Nothobranchius furzeri: one gene and its partner. The protein of the gene in region 1 purifies or fractionates together with the protein of each later gene. This does not show direct contact. Links are inferred from orthologs where the notes say so. Each region holds a gene or a part of one and is shown on either strand. Other genes may lie near its edges.

Region 1 (5,472 bases):
CACACAGTTAGACTAGAAGAATTCATGCATTTAAAATAATCATGGAGTTGTGGAATCTCTCCCTTCTTACAGGACAAGGTTCACATATGCAAACAATAAGCCCAAGAGTTACTTTAGCATTTGTCTCTGCAGCAGCTGCATGCATTTATTTAAACGTGTCACACCAAGTATCATTTTTCCTCCTGAAGTGATGATCAAACCAGAGAGAGGCTGAAACCAGGAAGCCCCTCCGTACGCGTTCCTTCTCATCGCTCATCATCTGCTCAGATTTAACGTGCTGTGACTGACGTATGACCCTGAGCCTTTTCCACGCTTCACTTTCTCTGACATGAGCCTGAAACCTGCAGCAGGTCAGCAGAGTAGGCACCTAAACGGACGGCGTTCCCATTGGGATCCATGTTTACATTAATGGAATAAACTTTTACCAAACAACCAACAACATTCAGTTTCTGCATGACCAACGGCGCAAATCATCAAAACGGTTGTATATTTAAGAGATCGCTCACCGCTTTGAATGTTCCACACCGACTGTAGCTGGATGACAGGAGTATTCCCAAACTGTAGAGTTTTCCAGACTTAGAATCAGCGTCTGAGGAAGAAAGATGGATGAAAGGAGGACAGGGGGAAACTGCTGCAGGATAGTGGAGGATGCTTTTCTGAAAAGCTCTTGAAAAACTTGGCGCTTCCCTACTTTTGGAGAAGTAAATGGTCCAAAACTAGAAAGTGGAAAGTTTTAGCTGGAAACTTTCTTCCTGATCTTGATGGTTTTTTGTCCCAGAGGAGCTCAGATTCGGATTTGCAGCTCCGTCTCTCCGCTGCAAACAAATGTCAGAGGGAGAAGCTGTGACACATGAAGCAGGAGTGGGAGGGCTATGACGTCACAAGGGGGGGGTGCTGGGGGATTTACCTCACCGGGATGAAGTAAGTCGGAGGGTGGAGTGAGTTGGAGCTGCATCCTGATTGACTCACTGTGTCCTCTCGCTTTCCTCCTGCTCATCCTTCGCCTAATTAGCTCTTCCTGTCTTCATCGTTTTTACTTTTCACTTCACTTCTTTTTTCTGGGCCCTCAACTTCCCGTCGAACCTTCTCAGACAAAAGCAGGAAGCAGCCAGGTGTGCTCAGCCAAACATGAGCGATGAGCGTCACTGCGAAGCTTCTTTTTAGTTTCATCTGAGCGAAGAGACTCGTGGAGAAAAGTGAAACGTGGTTCTCGTTGGAAACCAAAAATATTTCCCTTGAATGTGATTCTTGCAGCGACGTCTCAGTGCATCTACTCAGTCCAGAAACGGCTCGTATTTACTGTCAAACTGCTGAAATGGTTTTCTGAACTTGTTCTGTCCGTTTCCGACCTAATCGGGTGGATCGTTTGGATCTTTGGAGTCATGATTAGTCGGCGTCTTACCTGAAAGCAAAAAGAGCAGATGACCACAAAGTGTCCTGCAGCGGTTTCACTTGTGTGGGAAAATCCAGAAAAAGCATATTCTGTCATCAGTAGGGACTCCACCCCTGTCGTGTTGGACAACATCTCTTATATTTATGTTTTGTAGTACCTGGCGGTTTAGCTCAGGTAGATTCCTGGCCGTGGAACACTGGACCAGCTCAATACCCATTGGGGGCGTCCTGGAAGTGGGGTTCGCCCCACCGATCTACGTGTTTTGTGGATTTTGAGAAGGTGTTCAACCAGGCTGGATGGGGGGCCCTGTGGGGGGTACTCTGGGAGTATGGGGTACCAGGCCCTCTGATACGGGCTGTTAGGAGCTCGGTCCGCATTGCCGGCAGTAAGTCGGGCTCGTTCCCAGTGAGAGTTGGACTCCGCCAAGGCTGCCCTTTGTCACCGATTCTGTTCACAACCTTTATGGACAGGATTTCTAAGTGCAGCCAAGGTGGAAATCTGTTTTGGTGGCCTGAGGATCAGGTCTCTGCTTTTGCAGATGATGTGGTCCTGTTGGCTTCATCAGAACGTGATCTTCAGCTTTCACTGGAGCGGTTCGCAGCCGAGTGTGAATCAGCTCCTCTAAATCTGAGACCATGGTCTTAATTCAGAAAAGGGTAGAATGCCTTCTTCGGGTCCGGGGTGAGGTCCTTCCCCAAGTGGAGGAGTTTAAGTATCTCAGGGTCTTGTTCACGAGTGAGGGAAAGCTGGAGCGTGAGATCGATAGGCGGATTAGTGCTGCATCTGCAGCGATGCGGGTGTTGTACCGGTCTGTCGTGGTGAAGAGAGAGCTGATCCAGAAGGTGAAGATCTCGATTTAGCGGCCGATCTACGTTCCTACCCTCACCTATGGTCATGAGCTTTGGGTAATGACCGAAAGAACGAGATCGCGGATACAAGCGGCCGAAATGAGTTTTCTCCGCAGGATGGCCGGGCTCTCCCTTTGCGATAGGGTGAGGAGCTCAGCCATCCGGGAGGGGCTCGGAGTAGATCCGCTGCTCCTCCACATCGAGAGGAGCCAGTTGAGATGGCTCTGGCATCTGGCTAAGACGCCTCCTGGACACCTCCCTGGTGAGGTTTTCCGGGCACGTCCAACCGGGAGGAGACCTAGAAGAAGACCCAGGACACGCTGGAGGGACTATGCTTCAGGCTGGCCAGGGAACACCTTGGGATTCCCCCGGAGGAGCCGGCCCAAGTAGCTGGGGAGAGGGAAGTCTGGACCTCCCTGCTTAGGCTGCTGCCCCCGTGACCTGATCGGACGATAATGGATGGATGGCTAACTCCTTACCTTCCTACGTTTAAAACTAAATGTTTAGAAACGCCTTCAGATTGAGACACGATTTGAGCTAAAATATCCTGTTTTAAGTCCTATTGCAGAGATTGTCACACCTGGCTGATCTATACCACTACAGTAACTTCTACTGGGAGACTAGAGCTCTAGACCTTCATACACCTGTATGTATGATGCACTCCTGAGTAGCAGAACATCTCACAACGTTTTAAAGCTTGTTTAAAGAGTCACCACACTGAACAGATGTCTGTAAGCATCTGTCTGATGAGAAAGTACAGAAATGTAAAAGAGTAGTGGAACTTGTAAAAAGTTGCAGAAGTTTAAACCAGACTAAAGTCTCCAGAAAGCCTGACTGACTTTCTTCTTGATTCTCCAAACGGAGATCATGTTTATTGTTGTGTATCGCTGCTGAGATGGTAACGACTACTCCACACAACTCTAAAAGAGGGAGAGAGAGAAAAAACCCAACTCGGATTGTTTCATTTGACAAAGAGCTCAGAAAGGTCTCTTCTGATTTTTGTTTCCGCGTGTTTTTGTTAGAGCTTGTGGTCTGGCTCTGCAGGGATCCGATTTCTCCCCAGTAGAGCTGTGACTGAAAGCAAGCATTAACCCCCAAAGCTGACACACACACACACACACACACACACACACACATGTTCGAGTACACTCAGTCTCCTTGTCCTGTCAGATTTCCAAATCAAATTAGCTGTACGTGTGTGTGTGTGTGAGAGTCTGGAAGCCATTACCTGGCACGTCTCTTTGTTGACCAAAAACCAAGGGGCCCCATAGAGATCCTGCCACCATCTCTCTCTCTCTCTCTCTCTCTCTCTCTCTGTTCCCTCTCTCTCTCTCTCTCTCTGTTCCCTCCTTATTGCCTCCTTTATTGTTCGTTCCATCCGTCTTTTGCCACTCCTGAAGGACAAGATTTATTGGCTCAGTCCTTCTGATATTTTCACAATCTTTAGAGTGTGCTTGTCTTAATAAATCATCTCTATCCCATTTGTCATCAAGCCTGATTGAAGCCATCGGTGCCACCCTTCTTCTTCGCTCAAACGCAGGAAACTCGAAGCAGGAAGTGATGGAGTCAGGTGACAGGAAGGAACCCCTGGGTGACTCACTTTATCTCTGGGTCCCTGGAAGTCCTCGAGCGACGGAAACACACCCAGTACATGGGACACACAAGCATGAGTGCACACACACACACACGTTTCCCTGTTGGTTCTTTAAATAGCCCAAAATGTCAACAGAAGCCTGAATGAGAACTTCCCAAGATAGCAGCTCTATTGATCCAAACCACATGCAGCATGGTCCACTTCTGTTACCTTCAACAGTTTTATTACTTCTGAGTGGATCCTGTAGATGCTTGATGCACACATGTAGATAAAAGTCCACGAAGCTCAACCCATCCATCCATCCATCATCCATCCATCCATTTTCATCCGCTTCTCCGGAGTCGGGTCGCGGGGGCAGTAGCCTAAGTCGAGAAGCCCAGACTTCCCTCTCCCCAGCCACTTGGGCCAGCTCCTCCGGGGGAATCCCAAGGCGTTCCCCGGACAGGTGAGAGACATAGTCCCTCCACCGTGTCCTGGGTCTACCTTTAATCAATCAATCAATCAATGAATCAACTTTATTTATATAGCACTTAATCCTACAATACATGCAACTCAAAGTGCTTAACAAATTAAAAAGGCCCCACATACCCATCCCTCCCATCCCCAGAATTTAAAAACAGTCTGACAATAAAAACCCCTTCACACAACACTCCTCCACGGACACACACGCACGCACGCACACACACACATACACGCCCCCTTCCCCATGGTAAAAAAACATGATTGGCTGAGCTAAGATGAGCCAGACCAGCTAAGACAAGGATAAGGAAACACTATCAGGGGAGCCATCCGCCCTGACAGCAGCAGATCCACAGCAGCAGCTGAGGCACCGACACCGGGCGCCCAGGGCAGGGAGGGCAGAGACCCCCACCACCACCCAGGCACACATGGAAAGCGCCCAGGCTGCCACAGCCGACCACCGCCGCCGGGGCAGAGGGCTCCTTCCGGTTGGACGTGCCCGGAAAACCTCACCAGGGAGGCGTCCTGGAGGCATCCTGACCAGATGCCCAAGCCACCTCAACTGGCTCCTCTCGATGAGGAGGAGCAGCGGATCTACTCCGAGCCCCTCCCAGATGACCAAGCTTCTCACCCTGTCTCTAAGGGAGATCCCAGCCATCTTTCTTATTCTTGAACTTCAGCTGTTTTGATAAAGGTTCGATAAACACAACTAGAGATGCTCCAATCAGGGTTTCTGCTGCTGATCATCCACACCGACCAGCTTTACTGCTCATACATTTTCCATGAAGCTATAATGAGTGCTACGGACTATGATCTGGGAACAAAGGAACAGAAACAGTACCTAAACTAACACGTATCAATTTAGACAAAAATGTGTTTTTACTTTTTAAAGAGAAAAAGACTTGCAGCACCATCGGTGTGCTTGTTTCTGACCACAACTTCTAGGCCAGGGTTCATAGCTGAAGACGAGATCTTGGATGAGAGGCAAAGTATCTTCAAGAAAACCAGAAAAGTCCGGGTGTTTTCAAATAAATCTTTGGAGAAGATCATGTCCATGATGAATGATAATTTACACACTGAAGCACGAAGCATCAGTGACTCAGAAACCTAAAACACTAAAATGTAGCAGCTGTCAGTAACAATCTAACAGATTTAAAACACTATAACCTCTAAAAAAT
Region 2 (4,827 bases), on another chromosome or scaffold:
CAGAGGCAAACGACAGCAGGAGAAAAGAGAAGCCCAAACAAAGAGATGATGGCGAGTTAGCTGAGTGGCAAACATCAGGGACCTGGAGGTAGATGGTTTTTCAGTCTGAAAGTCAATTCTTTTAAATGAATTTGTATTTGTAACTCAGCTGAAGCAGTAAAGGTGTGAGCTTGATAACAGCTGCAGCTTATTGATTATTGATACAAATCTTCATGCTTGGTAAATTATCAGCAAAAAGTGAAGCTTTAAAGCAAAACCACTGCACAGAGCTGGGAAAACAGTCAGCTAGCAAGCCTTCGGGCAAATAATAGTCACCCATTGAATGTCGGGACTTTGTGAATATAAGTTTGCGGAGACTCTTGGAGGAGCTACCATCTTCCTCTAGTGGGGGGGGGGGACACAGAAGATGAGGGGGTAAATTATGAGGAAAAAGTGAGGAATGATTTTTCAGTGTCAACCAGGTGATGTAGAGAAAAGAAAACACTGATGATGATGATGAAGGGTGATGATTGTGTTATTGGATTAGAGCGAGAACGGTTATGATTGAATTCACACACATTTATCTTTGTTTGTTTACCCGTCTGACACTGTCGTCATCCGACTCAGAATAAGTTCTGTGGTAGCGATGATGGGCCTATGTGACGATACAACATGCATCAAAACCTGCTGCCAGGAGCTCTAGTGAGAGCCAAACGTAATGTGGTCAACTGCAGAACAGACTTCAGAGAACCTCATCTCTAGCCTAGAACACCAACACACATCTGACCAAACGTGTTACTAAATGTTAAATAAATCGGTCTCCTCGTTTCTGCTGTAAAACGAGTCCTGAGTGGAAGTCTTTACCCCGTCCACGTGGTCGTTTGGCTCCCCTTCGCTCCTCCTCTCACTGGGGTAGCCGCTGTCTCCTCCGCTCTCTGAATCCTGCAGAAACAACAACAAAACTCAGGACTAGTTCTGACACTTTTACTGAAGCAGGAACTAAACCTCTACTCTTCTATTCCCATTACTTAATGTTTAACCACAGTGTATAATTGCAGTCCTTACTAGATTGTCTTTAAAGAAAGACGATCAGACTGCAGAGAAATGGTGCCTTCAAGAGGTCCAGGCTAGTGCTGCGTTGAGTTTTCGTAGCTTAGTCATAAACTCTGTTTCTCTGAACCGAGGCTCTTCAGAAATCTATAATCTAACAGGTATTTTTAAACAACCTTTACCCACAAACACACTTCAAAATCCCCTTTATGACTCAGTGTTCATGCAATTCCAGCTTTGACACGACCACCTTCCAGAAACAGGACCAACTCCCTCACGCCACAGCGCTACACCACAGCTGCGTCACCCAGCAGGATATGTGCAGCAGCACACTGTAGGAAGCAGCTAATGGGCTGCAACACGTATCCATGTAAACTCCAATGTAAAAACAGAAAAGAACATCCCCTGGAGACCCGTCGTCTCTGTGTACAAAACGCTAGATGTTTTTATTAACCCTGGCTGCTTAGTGTTGCTCTCAGGCATGTCGTGTTGGTCTTGTTGCTTTACCCACACAGTGGAAAAGAAACAAAAGTCACTGTAGACAAAAATAAAAAATACCTTTCTGAGAGAGGAACCAACTGTTACAAAAGGAGGACTGTTGGTCCAGAACATTGTTTCGGGCAGATCTGTTTCCACAAGCTTATGAACACTCTCATTGTTGCACTGGACTCAACTGTGGTCAGCCTTTCAACAAATCCGCTCTGGAACTCTGCAAGGCCTCATTACCCAGGGGCCAGAGGGATGTTTGTTTGCTAAAGGGCTACACACATGCTGAAATTAGCTGAATTCCCATAATCCTCACTGTAAGGGAGAAGCTGTGCAAACAAAGACAAATAATCAACCGTAACCGAGAAGATAATTCAACTTTGTAAGCAACTCTGAGAGTGTAAATTTGGCTAAGAAATTAGCCCACAGACAAAAATAAATGCAGGAATGATGCAGAATGTAAAAATTGAATAATAATTCAATTCAAAGATACTTTATTAATCCCAGAGGGAAATGAGCGTTTCAGTACACACAATTCAGAGATCAGACATACATGGGCAAAGACACATGACAAGAATTGGTAACTGTGGTCATTTGCAACCCGAGTTGCGGTACCTTAATAGAGATCAGAGGGTTACATGAGGATTGGTTCAGGTGGAGGGAAAAAAAGGCACTTCAGAGTTACCCCTTCTTTCCACCGGAGCCGTCAGCAGCACGTCATAGCTGCTGATAGGAACCGCTGTGGTCAACAGAACCTTTTCCACCGGAACCGTCAGCAGCGCGAGTCGGCAGCATCTCAGGAGCAGCATGTCGCGGCCCTTACGCGCCGGTTCTATTTCTACGCGCAGCGCCTCTGAAACGGGTCAAGTTCGACATTTTTGGGGAAGGAAAGACAGGAAATCGGACGTGAAAATGGAGCGAAGCTTCCCGAGATTTTCAGAATAAACAAACATACTGCCTTCCGGTTGCTTTACTTAAAAAAAAAGTTACTAACTGTGCGGCCCGTGAGAAGTTATCACCTAGCTAACGGTCTCCTTTGTTTTTCAGGTCCGTATTGGCGATTATAAAATGGACAGAACATAAAACACAAACCTTTTGGAACCATGTTGTAATTTTCTCCTGCTTGTTGTTGTGTTCACTGACAAAGTCACTCGTGTGACTTCGTGCTCGGTCGGTGGCAGCTGCTCCCCTGCTGCTTCGCGTCTCGTGGGAAAGGCCAAGCAGCAGCTTACGCGAGCAAGACGTGCTGCTGCAGTAACGTGCTGCTGACAGCTCCGGTGGAAAGAAGGTGTTACCCTCCACAGGGAGGGCAGCTTTGCTATGCAAAAAACACCTCAGACAGAGAGATGCAACAGACTTCAGACATCACACAACATAAGTGTTCACTAGGTGGGGTGGTGGGTTTGGGACTCTCCACACGTCAGTTCCAGCAGACAAACGTTAAGCAGCGCATGTCACCTCAGTCTGGACAGGAGAAGGAGGTTGTTGAGGTTTGGAGGGCACAGTGACTCCTGGAACGATTCAGCGGCCTTCACAGCCCGCAGTCCTGCCCAGGCTGGGATAGGAGACAGAGTTGCCATAGCGACGGCAGCATTCCACATTTCTTCTGAGCGGGAGTATTCGTCGCAGCCTCACAGGTTCAAGGGCACCAGATTCAGATTAGAAATTGTTTTGGGGCCAGACAGAGATAATTTCCTCTCTGTCTTAAAGTTCTGTTGGTCCTCAACCTCTCAAAATCCCAATAATGGACATTAATCTATCCCAACCTGTGCTGATTCGTCCACTTTCTCCTTGATGGCATCCATCTTTTGTGCCAAAGCCGTTCTCATCGTTGAAAAAATTGTATCCATCGCGTTAAGTGACCAACTGACAAGATCCATTTTAGTTATTTCAGTTTCCAGACAAAATGCAGAAGCAGCTGTGCACCCAAAGACAGACAAAAAGCCTTGAGGGTAAGATAGGGAGGAGAGGACTAAAAAAGCGTCTGCACTGTCCAAGAGCCGGAACAAATATATTTTTAAAATCAATAATTTTAAGAGCTTTGAAACTTAAATCAGAGGTTTTAACCCAAATTAACTGACTAAAGGCAGATTTTGTGAATGTGTTTAAGCAAACAACACACACTGAGAACACTTGACTGCTCACCTTATGATCAGATGTGTTGTTGTTGTTGTTGTTGAGTCTGTCATGTTCAACCATTCCAGAGAGGGACATGCCTGGAAAATGTAGGAAAACACCAACTGTTCACACACTAGTCCATTCCTCATGCACCGTGCTCCTGCAGACAAACGGACAGGAACGCACCTGAGGCTGATCTGCCCATCGACCCGCTCATCACTATGGGGGAGAAGGGAAGGGTGAGAGGCGAGCAGGAGACCGAGTCCATGTCGCTCGCGCTCTCGTCTGCAGATGAGGTCTCTGACAGGCGGGACAGCAGCGGAGGCACCCGGCTGGCAGACAATGTCTGAACACGAGGCGAGCCGCAGACTTCCTCACACCCCCTCAGCACCGTCTGGGCCGACTTCTGACAGGAAACGAGGTGAAACTTAGAGCTAAAACATGACAGGACTAACGAAGACACACCAAACATGTAAAGCATTCCAAATTGAGACTTTATCAAAGTATTAAAATTACAAGTAGCTTGCTGGTGCAGTCCATCTGGGACTGCTCTGCTTGGGCCAGGTCAAAAGGCGTCAAGCCCATGCTCTTGCAGATCTTGTTACACAGGTGGGAATGGAAGAACAGAGCCATGCCACGAACACCTGGAACACAGGTGTTAATCAGAGCGGAACATCTGGAATCACTTCTGCTTCAAACATGCATCAAATCGTCTATCCAACCTAGATTTCCGTCTCCAAAGTCCGTCCCCTTCTCCGTGTGGATCTGAGGGTCCGTGTAGAGGTCTCCAACTCCCTGGATGTCCACCACGATCAGCTGGTGGCCCGACCGCTCAAAGGTGAAGTGGCTGAAGGCCTGGTGGAGGAAGAAAAAGGGGAGTTGGATACTGGACCATCAGCTGAGTTGGTTTTCTGAACTAAAAGGTGGCGCCGCTCACCTGTGGGGTCAGGCGGATGTTGTCGTCCCTCACAAAGCCGGAGTTGGAGTTGTACTTGATGTACTTCCCCTCGATGTAATGCTCCAGGTGGAAGAGAGGCTTGCCCGGTCGCTGTGCCATCTCCACCACACACATCTGCATGATGTCCACCTGAGCAGGAGTTTAAATGGGTCATCCAAATGTACTTCTGTTACAGTCACAGTCATGACGAAGACTCATGAAAAAACCTGTTTGGGAGGTCTGTGGCGGTTGTACTC

What was found. Proteins that work in one complex are often made in the same cells at the same time.
Region 2: the proteins of hspa12b (region 1) and eef2k purify together in Homo sapiens (affinity purification with mass spectrometry; 3 studies listed by BioGRID and IntAct, with this or other methods). This does not show direct contact. The link is inferred for Nothobranchius furzeri from reciprocal best matches to the Homo sapiens genes HSPA12B and EEF2K.

What each region holds. Positions count from the first base shown.
Region 1 is NC_091754.1:61,298,110-61,303,581, forward strand, and holds the start of hspa12b (heat shock 70 kDa protein 12B), read right to left. Parts: upstream 3,761-5,472; 5' UTR 3,620-3,760; coding exon 3,470-3,619; intron 826-3,469; exon of another isoform or gene 507-825; intron 1-506.
Region 2 is NC_091756.1:44,630,034-44,634,860, forward strand, and holds part of eef2k (eukaryotic elongation factor 2 kinase), read right to left. Parts: coding exon 4,798-4,827; intron 4,721-4,797; coding exon 4,571-4,720; intron 4,489-4,570; coding exon 4,356-4,488; intron 4,278-4,355; coding exon 4,150-4,277; intron 4,040-4,149; coding exon 3,820-4,039; intron 3,732-3,819; coding exon 3,661-3,731; intron 922-3,660; coding exon 844-921; intron 635-843; coding exon 578-634; intron 382-577; coding exon 316-381; intron 1-315. UniProt on the Homo sapiens protein: Threonine kinase that regulates protein synthesis by controlling the rate of peptide chain elongation.